3 linked regions of the Saccharomyces cerevisiae S288C genome follow. Changing the gene in region 2 together with the main gene of any one other region gives a genetic interaction. Each region holds a gene or a part of one and is shown on either strand. Other genes may lie near its edges.

The links. A genetic interaction does not mean that the proteins touch.
Region 1: mutations in ECM1 (region 2) and POM34 together harm fitness more than expected from each alone (negative genetic interaction), as found in Saccharomyces cerevisiae (6 studies listed by BioGRID, with this or other methods).
Region 3: mutations in ECM1 (region 2) and MOG1 together harm fitness more than expected from each alone (negative genetic interaction), as found in Saccharomyces cerevisiae (4 studies listed by BioGRID).

The regions. Positions count from the first base shown.
Region 1 is NC_001144.5:178,207-181,633, forward strand, and holds POM34 (Pom34p), read right to left. Parts: upstream 1,401-3,427; coding exon 501-1,400; downstream 1-500. Other genes in the region: MEU1 (S-methyl-5-thioadenosine phosphorylase), read left to right, coding at 1-415; PSR2 (putative phosphatase), read left to right, coding at 2,082-3,275. UniProt on the Saccharomyces cerevisiae protein: Functions as a component of the nuclear pore complex (NPC).
Region 2 is NC_001133.9:34,572-37,647, forward strand, and holds ECM1 (Ecm1p), read left to right. Parts: upstream 1-1,937; coding exon 1,938-2,576; downstream 2,577-3,076. Other genes in the region: putative dehydrogenase BDH2, read left to right, coding at 1-130; BDH1 ((R,R)-butanediol dehydrogenase), read left to right, coding at 584-1,732; CNE1 (calnexin), read left to right, coding at 2,893-3,076. UniProt on the Saccharomyces cerevisiae protein: Pre-ribosomal factor involved in 60S ribosomal protein subunit export from the nucleus.
Region 3 is NC_001142.9:571,286-574,251, forward strand, and holds MOG1 (Ran GTPase-binding protein MOG1), read left to right. Parts: upstream 1-1,809; coding exon 1,810-2,466; downstream 2,467-2,966. Other genes in the region: GTPase NPA3, read right to left, coding at 1-839; OPI3 (bifunctional phosphatidyl-N-methylethanolamine N-methyltransferase/phosphatidyl-N-dimethylethanolamine N-methyltransferase), read right to left, coding at 1,030-1,650; HOC1 (alpha-1,6-mannosyltransferase), read left to right, coding at 2,696-2,966. UniProt on the Saccharomyces cerevisiae protein: Involved in the Ran-GTPase system for nuclear protein import and poly(A)+ mRNA export.

The DNA.
Region 1 (3,427 bases), on a different chromosome or scaffold from region 2:
TATGACCGTTGTGTGTATGGAAGGCCCACAATTCTCCACGCGCGCTGAATCCAAGATGTACAGAATGTTTGGTGGCCATGTTATTAACATGAGTGTTATTCCAGAAGCCAAATTGGCGCGTGAGTGTGAGCTGCCTTACCAGATGATTTGTATGTCTACCGATTACGACGCATGGAGAGATGAGGCAGAACCTGTTACCGTAGAAACCGTTATTGGTAATTTGACGAATAATGGGCGCAATGCAAATATTTTAGCTTCTAAGATCATCGTCTCAATGGCCAAGGAAATCCCAGAGTTCATGCATACTGGCGATGGGCTGCGCGGTTCCATCAAGAAATCTATCTCTACCAAACCAGAGGCTATGTCCAAGGAAACCTTAGAAAGACTAAGATACTTATTTCCAAACTATTGGTAATGGTTGCCGCTAATCATATGTAAAATATAAATAGGAGAGAAAACATATATAGCTATGGAAAGTATTAAATGTTTTTTTGCTGTTTTTATATTTTCCCCCTTGGGGACTGTGAGTTCATCATATATGCATATTTGCTACTTGGAATGTAGCCCTTCCTAGTTACAGGGGTATGCGGCGAGTTATTGTCATTGTTAGCGCTCACTAATGTGCTACTGATACCGCTATGCCTCTGCAGTGTGCCAAATACATTCTTTGTGTGTAAGGATTGAGATTGTAGTTTCGTCTGTTCCTCCGCCATTTCCCTTTGTCTTGCTTTCAAAGGCGTCTCTAAGCCTTTGAAGAGATATGCTGGATGATTTTTGAGATTTGTTTGAGGAATATGTGTTTTGTTCTGTGCCATTTGGCTGATCTTAGAAGTGGATACGTAGTGGGGGTGTTGTGGCTGCAACCCAGTATCGACAGATGATTGCATGTCTACCCCCAGGAGCTTCTTTTGCCTGTCAGTGAGATTCAAATCACTTACTTTGACGGTGGATAAGAGCTTCCAAAGAGAAAACAGTATATTGAGCGAGATTAATAGGTGGAACAAGTAGTCAAGAAGTTCTGCATTCAACCAACTGAACGTGGTGTGATATATGATGTTAGCCTTCTTTAACGTGTGAAATGTCAACATGTACAGATGGATTCTGGATAGCCGGTTGCAAAACTGTCTCCCAACATGAGTGTTGTTCCAAAAGAACTTGATGAACTTCACCAGCAGGTTCCAGAACGCAAACGCAATTACGTTTGTCATAATTCTCTGCGTCTCCATTTCCTTGTTTACCGTTCGCCGTGATAGCTCCTTGAGCACAGGACTTTCAAAGTTGCCCAATTTAAACATTGGTGTGTCATTTTGTGATTGTGATGAGGGTTTGCTGTCTGTGTCCGGCAATGGTCCCGGCACGTCATTATCGTCCAGGCCCAATTGGCCCGCCTGAATCTTCATAGTTCCCTCTATTATTTTTTTGCCTCTGCGGATATATTAAAAGTCTGTATATTGTCAAGTTCTTATAATATAAATCTTTTTGTTCATCATAACCATCTTATTAATTGTTATTATTTCTATCATTATTACTATTAGCACAAATTTCATTTTTTTTTTTTTTCATTTTTCTTTAGACTTTAGCCCTAATTAGACCTGAGAAATATTATTATAACCTGAGAAAGGTTTATAAAAAGAACATTATAACCTACAAAAAAGATACTTAAACCCTGAAGTTAATAGGTTTGGACCCTCTTTTTTTTTTTTTGCTTTTTTTTAGAAAACCTCAGTATTCACAGTCTAAGGAACAGATAAAGAGAAGCTTTATGAAAGCAGTCCACAGTGCCACGAACTTTGACATATATAATTGACTTGTGGGGGCTACCGACTGGCTTATATTTCTAAAATTTAGAGATTTGATTATCTTTTTCGCAGCGCGTAAAAGAAACCCACGAAGCATCGCTTAATTTACACATATTCTTCGTTCTCCCCTTTTGGAGAGGATTTAAGCTAAGATATATCTTTCTTCGAGCGCAGTGCTGCTTTTGAGTTCTTTCGTTTTAATTTTCCACTTATTTGGCAATAAAAACTGAGTGAAGAGTGCTTCTCTGTCTGTTTTAGGGAGCTTTTTCAGATCATCATCAGATGGGATTTATAGCAAATATACTGTGCTGTTCTTCAGATACTTCCAAAACACATCGTCAACGCCAACCACCAGAAACTAATCACAACCGCAACCGCAACCGTAAGCACAGTTCAAACAAAGCTCAAACTCAGGGTCGTAAGCAGAAGGCTACTCCAAACGGCGACAAGATGCAATATTCCACACCGGAGATCCTTTTGTCTAGTTCCGATTCAGGCAGCAATGCGGGTTCCAAGACAATGCAGGAGAATGGGAATAGCGGCAATGGAAAACTAGCACCTTTATCAAGAGATCACTCCAACAACTCGTACGATGAGGAGAAAGAATATGAAGATTATAATGAAGGAGACGTAGAAATGACGGAGGTTAACAATGCCGGAGAAGAAGAAGAAGAAGATGACGAAGCAAAAGAAAAGCAAGACCATGTCGTTCATGAATATAACGTTGACGCAGATAGAAATTCCAGTATTAATGACGAGGCGCCACCACAACAGGGTCTGTATCAGGTGGGTCAAGAAGATATGAATCCACAATATGTCGCCAGCAGTCCTGATAATGATTTAAACTTGATACCTACAACGGAGGAGGACTTCTCTGACCTGACGCATTTGCAACCAGACCAGTACCATGCCCCCGGATACGACACTCTGCTACCACCCAAGTTGCAAGAATTTCAACAGAAAAAATGTCTGATATTGGATCTAGACGAAACTTTGGTACATTCTTCCTTTAAATATATGCATTCAGCTGATTTCGTTTTGCCCGTCGAAATCGATGATCAAGTTCACAATGTCTATGTTATTAAGAGGCCAGGCGTCGATGAGTTCTTGAACAGGGTGAGTCAACTATACGAAGTTGTTGTGTTCACGGCAAGTGTTTCGAGGTATGCAAACCCCCTTTTAGATACGTTGGACCCTAATGGAACCATCCATCATCGATTATTCAGAGAAGCTTGTTATAACTACGAAGGTAACTACATCAAGAACTTATCGCAGATCGGAAGACCATTGTCCGAAACAATCATCTTAGATAATTCGCCGGCCTCTTACATCTTTCATCCGCAACATGCTGTTCCGATATCTTCTTGGTTCTCTGATACTCATGATAATGAGTTACTAGATATTATCCCACTTTTGGAGGACCTTTCATCAGGAAACGTGTTGGATGTGGGGAGCGTGTTGGATGTGACGATATAGATTTCTCAGTAACATAAAAAGCAGGCTCTTTTTATTACCCCCCCCTTCGGTTATATGTTTGGACGAACTCATGTTTCTCTTTTTATACAGAAGACTTCACCGGATATTTATAAACTTAATGAATTAATTTGCTTATTACATGTATCAATTGT
Region 2 (3,076 bases):
TCCAAACAATCACGGAGAGTTGAACAGGGAAGCCGATAATGAGAAGAAAGAAATTTCCGAGCTGAGCAGTCGGAAAGATCAAGAAAGACTACGAGAATCAATAAACGAGGCTAAACTGCGTCACACATGATTGTGATTGAGTACTCACGTTCTCGTGTTAATCCCGCGGTCTTCTTGTTTTACTAACTTTTCTTTCTCTCATAGCATTCTCTTGACAGTGTTTTATATACATCATATGTACATTTATCGAGCCAATCGAGGGCAGCAGTTTAACATCAAGCCGGATTTGCTCACGCTACTTTGACCCCTTTTCGTTTCGACGGAGAGAAGAAACCGGTGTTTTCCTATCCTTGCCTATTCTTTCCTCCTTACGGGGTCCTAGCCTGTTTCTCTTGATATGATAATAGGTGGAAACGTAGAAAAAAAAATCGACATATAAAAGTGGGGCAGATACTTCGTGTGACAATGGCCAATTCAAGCCCTTTGGGCAGATGTTGCCCTTCTTCTTTCTTAAAAAGTCTTAGTACGATTGACCAAGTCAGAAAAAAAAAAAAAAAGGAACTAAAAAAAGTTTTAATTAATTATGAGAGCTTTGGCATATTTCAAGAAGGGTGATATTCACTTCACTAATGATATCCCTAGGCCAGAAATCCAAACCGACGATGAGGTTATTATCGACGTCTCTTGGTGTGGGATTTGTGGCTCGGATCTTCACGAGTACTTGGATGGTCCAATCTTCATGCCTAAAGATGGAGAGTGCCATAAATTATCCAACGCTGCTTTACCTCTGGCAATGGGCCATGAGATGTCAGGAATTGTTTCCAAGGTTGGTCCTAAAGTGACAAAGGTGAAGGTTGGCGACCACGTGGTCGTTGATGCTGCCAGCAGTTGTGCGGACCTGCATTGCTGGCCACACTCCAAATTTTACAATTCCAAACCATGTGATGCTTGTCAGAGGGGCAGTGAAAATCTATGTACCCACGCCGGTTTTGTAGGACTAGGTGTGATCAGTGGTGGCTTTGCTGAACAAGTCGTAGTCTCTCAACATCACATTATCCCGGTTCCAAAGGAAATTCCTCTAGATGTGGCTGCTTTAGTTGAGCCTCTTTCTGTCACCTGGCATGCTGTTAAGATTTCTGGTTTCAAAAAAGGCAGTTCAGCCTTGGTTCTTGGTGCAGGTCCCATTGGGTTGTGTACCATTTTGGTACTTAAGGGAATGGGGGCTAGTAAAATTGTAGTGTCTGAAATTGCAGAGAGAAGAATAGAAATGGCCAAGAAACTGGGCGTTGAGGTGTTCAATCCCTCCAAGCACGGTCATAAATCTATAGAGATACTACGTGGTTTGACCAAGAGCCATGATGGGTTTGATTACAGTTATGATTGTTCTGGTATTCAAGTTACTTTCGAAACCTCTTTGAAGGCATTAACATTCAAGGGGACAGCCACCAACATTGCAGTTTGGGGTCCAAAACCTGTCCCATTCCAACCAATGGATGTGACTCTCCAAGAGAAAGTTATGACTGGTTCGATCGGCTATGTTGTCGAAGACTTCGAAGAAGTTGTTCGTGCCATCCACAACGGAGACATCGCCATGGAAGATTGTAAGCAACTAATCACTGGTAAGCAAAGGATTGAGGACGGTTGGGAAAAGGGATTCCAAGAGTTGATGGATCACAAGGAATCCAACGTTAAGATTCTATTGACGCCTAACAATCACGGTGAAATGAAGTAATGACAAAATAATATTTGGGGCCCCTCGCGGCTCATTTGTAGTATCTAAGATTATGTATTTTCTTTTATAATATTTGTTGTTATGAAACAGACAGAAGTAAGTTTCTGCGACTATATTATTTTTTTTTTTCTTCTTTTTTTTTCCTTTATTCAACTTGGCGATGAGCTGAAAATTTTTTTGGTTAAGGACCCTTTAGAAGTATTGAATGTGGGAACAAAGACGACAAAAGGTAGTTTTTTCCTTGACTATACTGGTAAGATATCGTCTAAAACAAAGCATGGCCAAGAAAATATCAAAGAATTCAAGAGCTGCTAGACAATCGGATGCTCTTGAACCAGAGGTAAAGGATTTAAGTGAACTACCTAGAGCTGAAAAAACCGATTTGACTAATATTTTGATTAGAACAGCAGCCAAGAATGAGGCATTGCTGGAAGCAAAGATATCTAAGAAAGCCAATAAAAGTAAGAGGGGCAAGAAGTTAAATAAAAAGGCTCTGGAAGACAAACTGGCCAACTCTATTTCATCCATGGACAGGGATCGTTTAGTGAAGGCCTTGAATTTTACCAATCGTCTGGACGGTAAAATTGCCAAGTCCATTTCTCGTGCCAAGTACATTCAAAATACAAGAAAGGCTGGCTGGGATAGCACCAATGAGACTATAAAAAAAGAGCTGGCTTTTTTGAACGGAGGGTTGTCTGTGCAGGCAAAAAGTGCTAGTGAAGGTAATGCTGAAAAGGAAGATGAGGAGATCCCAGAAGTTTTTGACTCTTTAGCAGAGGATAACACAGTGCAGAAGACTCCTACAAATAGATTCGGTGTCCTGCCAGACGATGTTGAAGAATAGAAAATTTTCATATGAAAGGTCCTAGGAATACACGATTCTTGTACGCATTCTTCTTTTTTCTATCTTCTTTCATTCTTTGTACATTAGATAACATGGTTTTAGCTTAGTTTTATTTTATTTTTTATATATCTGGATGTATACTATTATTGAAAAACTTCATTAATAGTTACAACTTTTTCAATATCAAGTTGATTAAGAAAAAGAAAATTATTATGGGTTAGCTGAAAACCGTGTGATGCATGTCGTTTAAGGATTGTGTAAAAAAGTGAACGGCAACGCATTTCTAATATAGATAACGGCCACACAAAGTAGTACTATGAAATTTTCTGCGTATTTATGGTGGCTGTTTTTGAATCTAGCGTTGGTGAAAGGCACTTCATTGCTATCCAACGTTACATTAGCGGAAGATTCTTTCTGGGAGCATTTTCAGGCTTACACTAATACAAAGCATTTAAACCAAGAGTGGATCACAAGTGAAGCCGTCAACAATGAAGGCTCTA
Region 3 (2,966 bases), on a different chromosome or scaffold from region 2:
ATCTCTTCCTTTTTCTTTTTTAGGTTCAATGCTTTTTCACGTTCTTGCTTATAGTATTGGTCGTATTCATCAACTTTCTTGTCTACGCATTGCATAAATTCGTCGAATCCGTCTCCGGTAAAACTGGAAACGCCCACGACGTCTAGCTGGGAATAGAATTCTTCAAGCATCAGTGACATAGAATTGACCAATGAGCTCATGTACCCGGAGCCCAGCCCATTGTCACCATTCAAGTCTTGATCTTCCTTGATTGCTGCTTGGAAACTCTCAAAATCCGTCATCCATTCCTTAGCAAAATCTGCCTTGCACACGTCGGTCTTGTTGAAAACGACAATCATGGGAAGTTTGGTCTTATACAGAATGGAGCAGGCGTACAGCATGTTACTCATGAATGTAGTTGGGGATGAGTTTCTAGGCGTATCCACGATATATGCAATCACTGTGGGAAAGCTGGAGGCAAAAGATTCCGTGATAATGGCACCCGACGCACTCCACACAAAACATTCGATTTGGCCTGGAGTGTCGATGATGCAGTTTTGGAACTTGTCCTTCTTCTGTTCCACCAACCTAATAACTTGATCAATCTTGGTGCTGAACAAATTCAAACTGGTGACAATGGCACCGTTCGGACCTAGCTGGTAATTCTCCATCACTTTCTTGTATTTGATTGAGTCTCTGATATCGATGTTTGCACCATAGGGGACTCTCAATACTGCAGGATCAAGATTGATTACGTATGGTGGCGTTTTCTCTGCCCGCAAGTGGGAGTTTAACCTTTGCATGAAAGTTGTTTTACCGGATCCGGCCATACCAATACATATGATTGTGCTGAGACTCATTCTTGCTGTGTCGTTATTGCGTTTTGTAGTTGTTTGTGTGCGCTAGATGCTCTCATTGTATTCCTTGTTAAATAGAGCATCGCATTAAAATTTTTTTTTTTCACTTTCGCGAAGAAATTGCTTATGGAGCTATATAGAAACGGTAATAGCATAGGCTTCTAACATTATAGAATATATAGAAATAGAGCACTTACATATTCTTTTTGGCCTTATCACGGTTAGCGTAGATCATGGCAGTAAAAGGTTCTTCCCAACGAAGAGCGATCTTGTACATGAAGTAAACTACGGCAGAAACAACCAGCCCCGCAGGCTTTCCTTTGTAAAGGGCTATGCCCAAGAAGGACAAAGTGGAACCCTGGTACATGGGGTTGTTGGAAACGTTGAAGGGGAAGCCGGTGACTCTCTCATCCATCAGGATGCCGAAATAGTCACCCAAGTACGTCCCTGTGATACCCAGCTTGTACATGGAACTCAAAACAAGCACTTGCCCCAAACCAAAGAGAGCCACACCCAGCTTGGTCCAGTTCTCGCCCGTGATCAGAGAACACGTAGGCTGTTCACGCAATGCAGACTCGTACACCATGTCTCTGACGATACCTAGCGAAAATATGGTCGCCGCCAACATGTAACAGCCCTTTCTGGCCCCACCACACATCTTGGTGAGAGAATGCTTGTGGTATTCCATTCTTGCAACGATGTTCCAAAAGATAGGATTGAACATCGTGCACACAATGGCCAGCTGGAACTTGGAAGACTGTAAATCGACACTGTGGATGAGTTGCTGGATGATCTCTTGGACTGACTCCTTCATCGCTTGACTTGCGCTATTCTTGTTGTCTTCAATTGCTGTTTATGGCTCTGTCCAAGAACGTTCATGTTCTTCATATGTGTTCTCTTATAAAGACCCCTTATCCAGTGGTCATTGCAGTGGCAGTGGACAGAAACCAACGATGCATGTGTGGGTTTGCATATGAAGATTGAAAAGGCTTCTCATATTTCACAACCGGTGCAACTTTCCACATGCACTCTCATTGACACCTACCCTGGTCATCAAGGAAGCATGAACAACAAGGAAGTCGAATTATACGGCGGCGCCATCACTACTGTCGTCCCACCTGGGTTTATAGACGCTTCTACTCTAAGAGAAGTCCCCGATACACAGGAGGTGTACGTCAATTCCCGTCGCGATGAAGAAGAATTCGAAGATGGACTAGCCACCAATGAAAGCATTATCGTGGATCTCTTGGAGACGGTCGACAAGAGCGATCTGAAGGAGGCTTGGCAGTTCCACGTGGAAGACCTGACGGAGTTGAACGGGACCACCAAATGGGAAGCTTTACAAGAAGACACTGTTCAGCAAGGAACCAAGTTCACCGGACTCGTTATGGAAGTAGCAAATAAGTGGGGAAAACCAGATCTGGCACAGACCGTTGTCATCGGCGTAGCGTTGATCAGATTAACCCAGTTTGACACGGATGTGGTCATCTCCATTAATGTACCTTTGACAAAGGAGGAGGCGTCGCAAGCAAGCAACAAAGAGTTGCCTGCAAGATGTCATGCTGTTTACCAATTGTTGCAAGAAATGGTACGGAAGTTTCACGTTGTGGACACGTCGCTGTTTGCTTAATCTTTCAAATTTTAACCTTATGTTTATATTACCTTTTTATTTCTACTATATAGCGTATTACATGTTTTTTCCGATAAGTATAACGAAATTTCCCAGCAGCGAAGAAAGTGAAAAAATAACAGTGACCATAATGAACATTCCTCTCTTTCCATTTTGCACGTATTCTTGCAGAGAAGAGGCACTCTACTCGGAAGACAGCAGATAGATATATAGACTGTAGCGGTTAACGATGGCCAAAACAACAAAAAGAGCCTCCAGTTTCAGGAGGTTGATGATATTCGCCATAATAGCCCTCATCTCATTAGCATTTGGAGTTAGATACCTATTTCACAATTCTAATGCTACTGATTTACAAAAAATTCTGCAGAACTTGCCCAAAGAGATTTCCCAAAGCATTAATAGTGCCAACAATATTCAGAGTTCGGATTCTGATCTAGTTCAACATTTTGAGAGTTTGGCTCAGGAGATCAGACACCAACAGGAAGTTCAAGCAAAGCAAT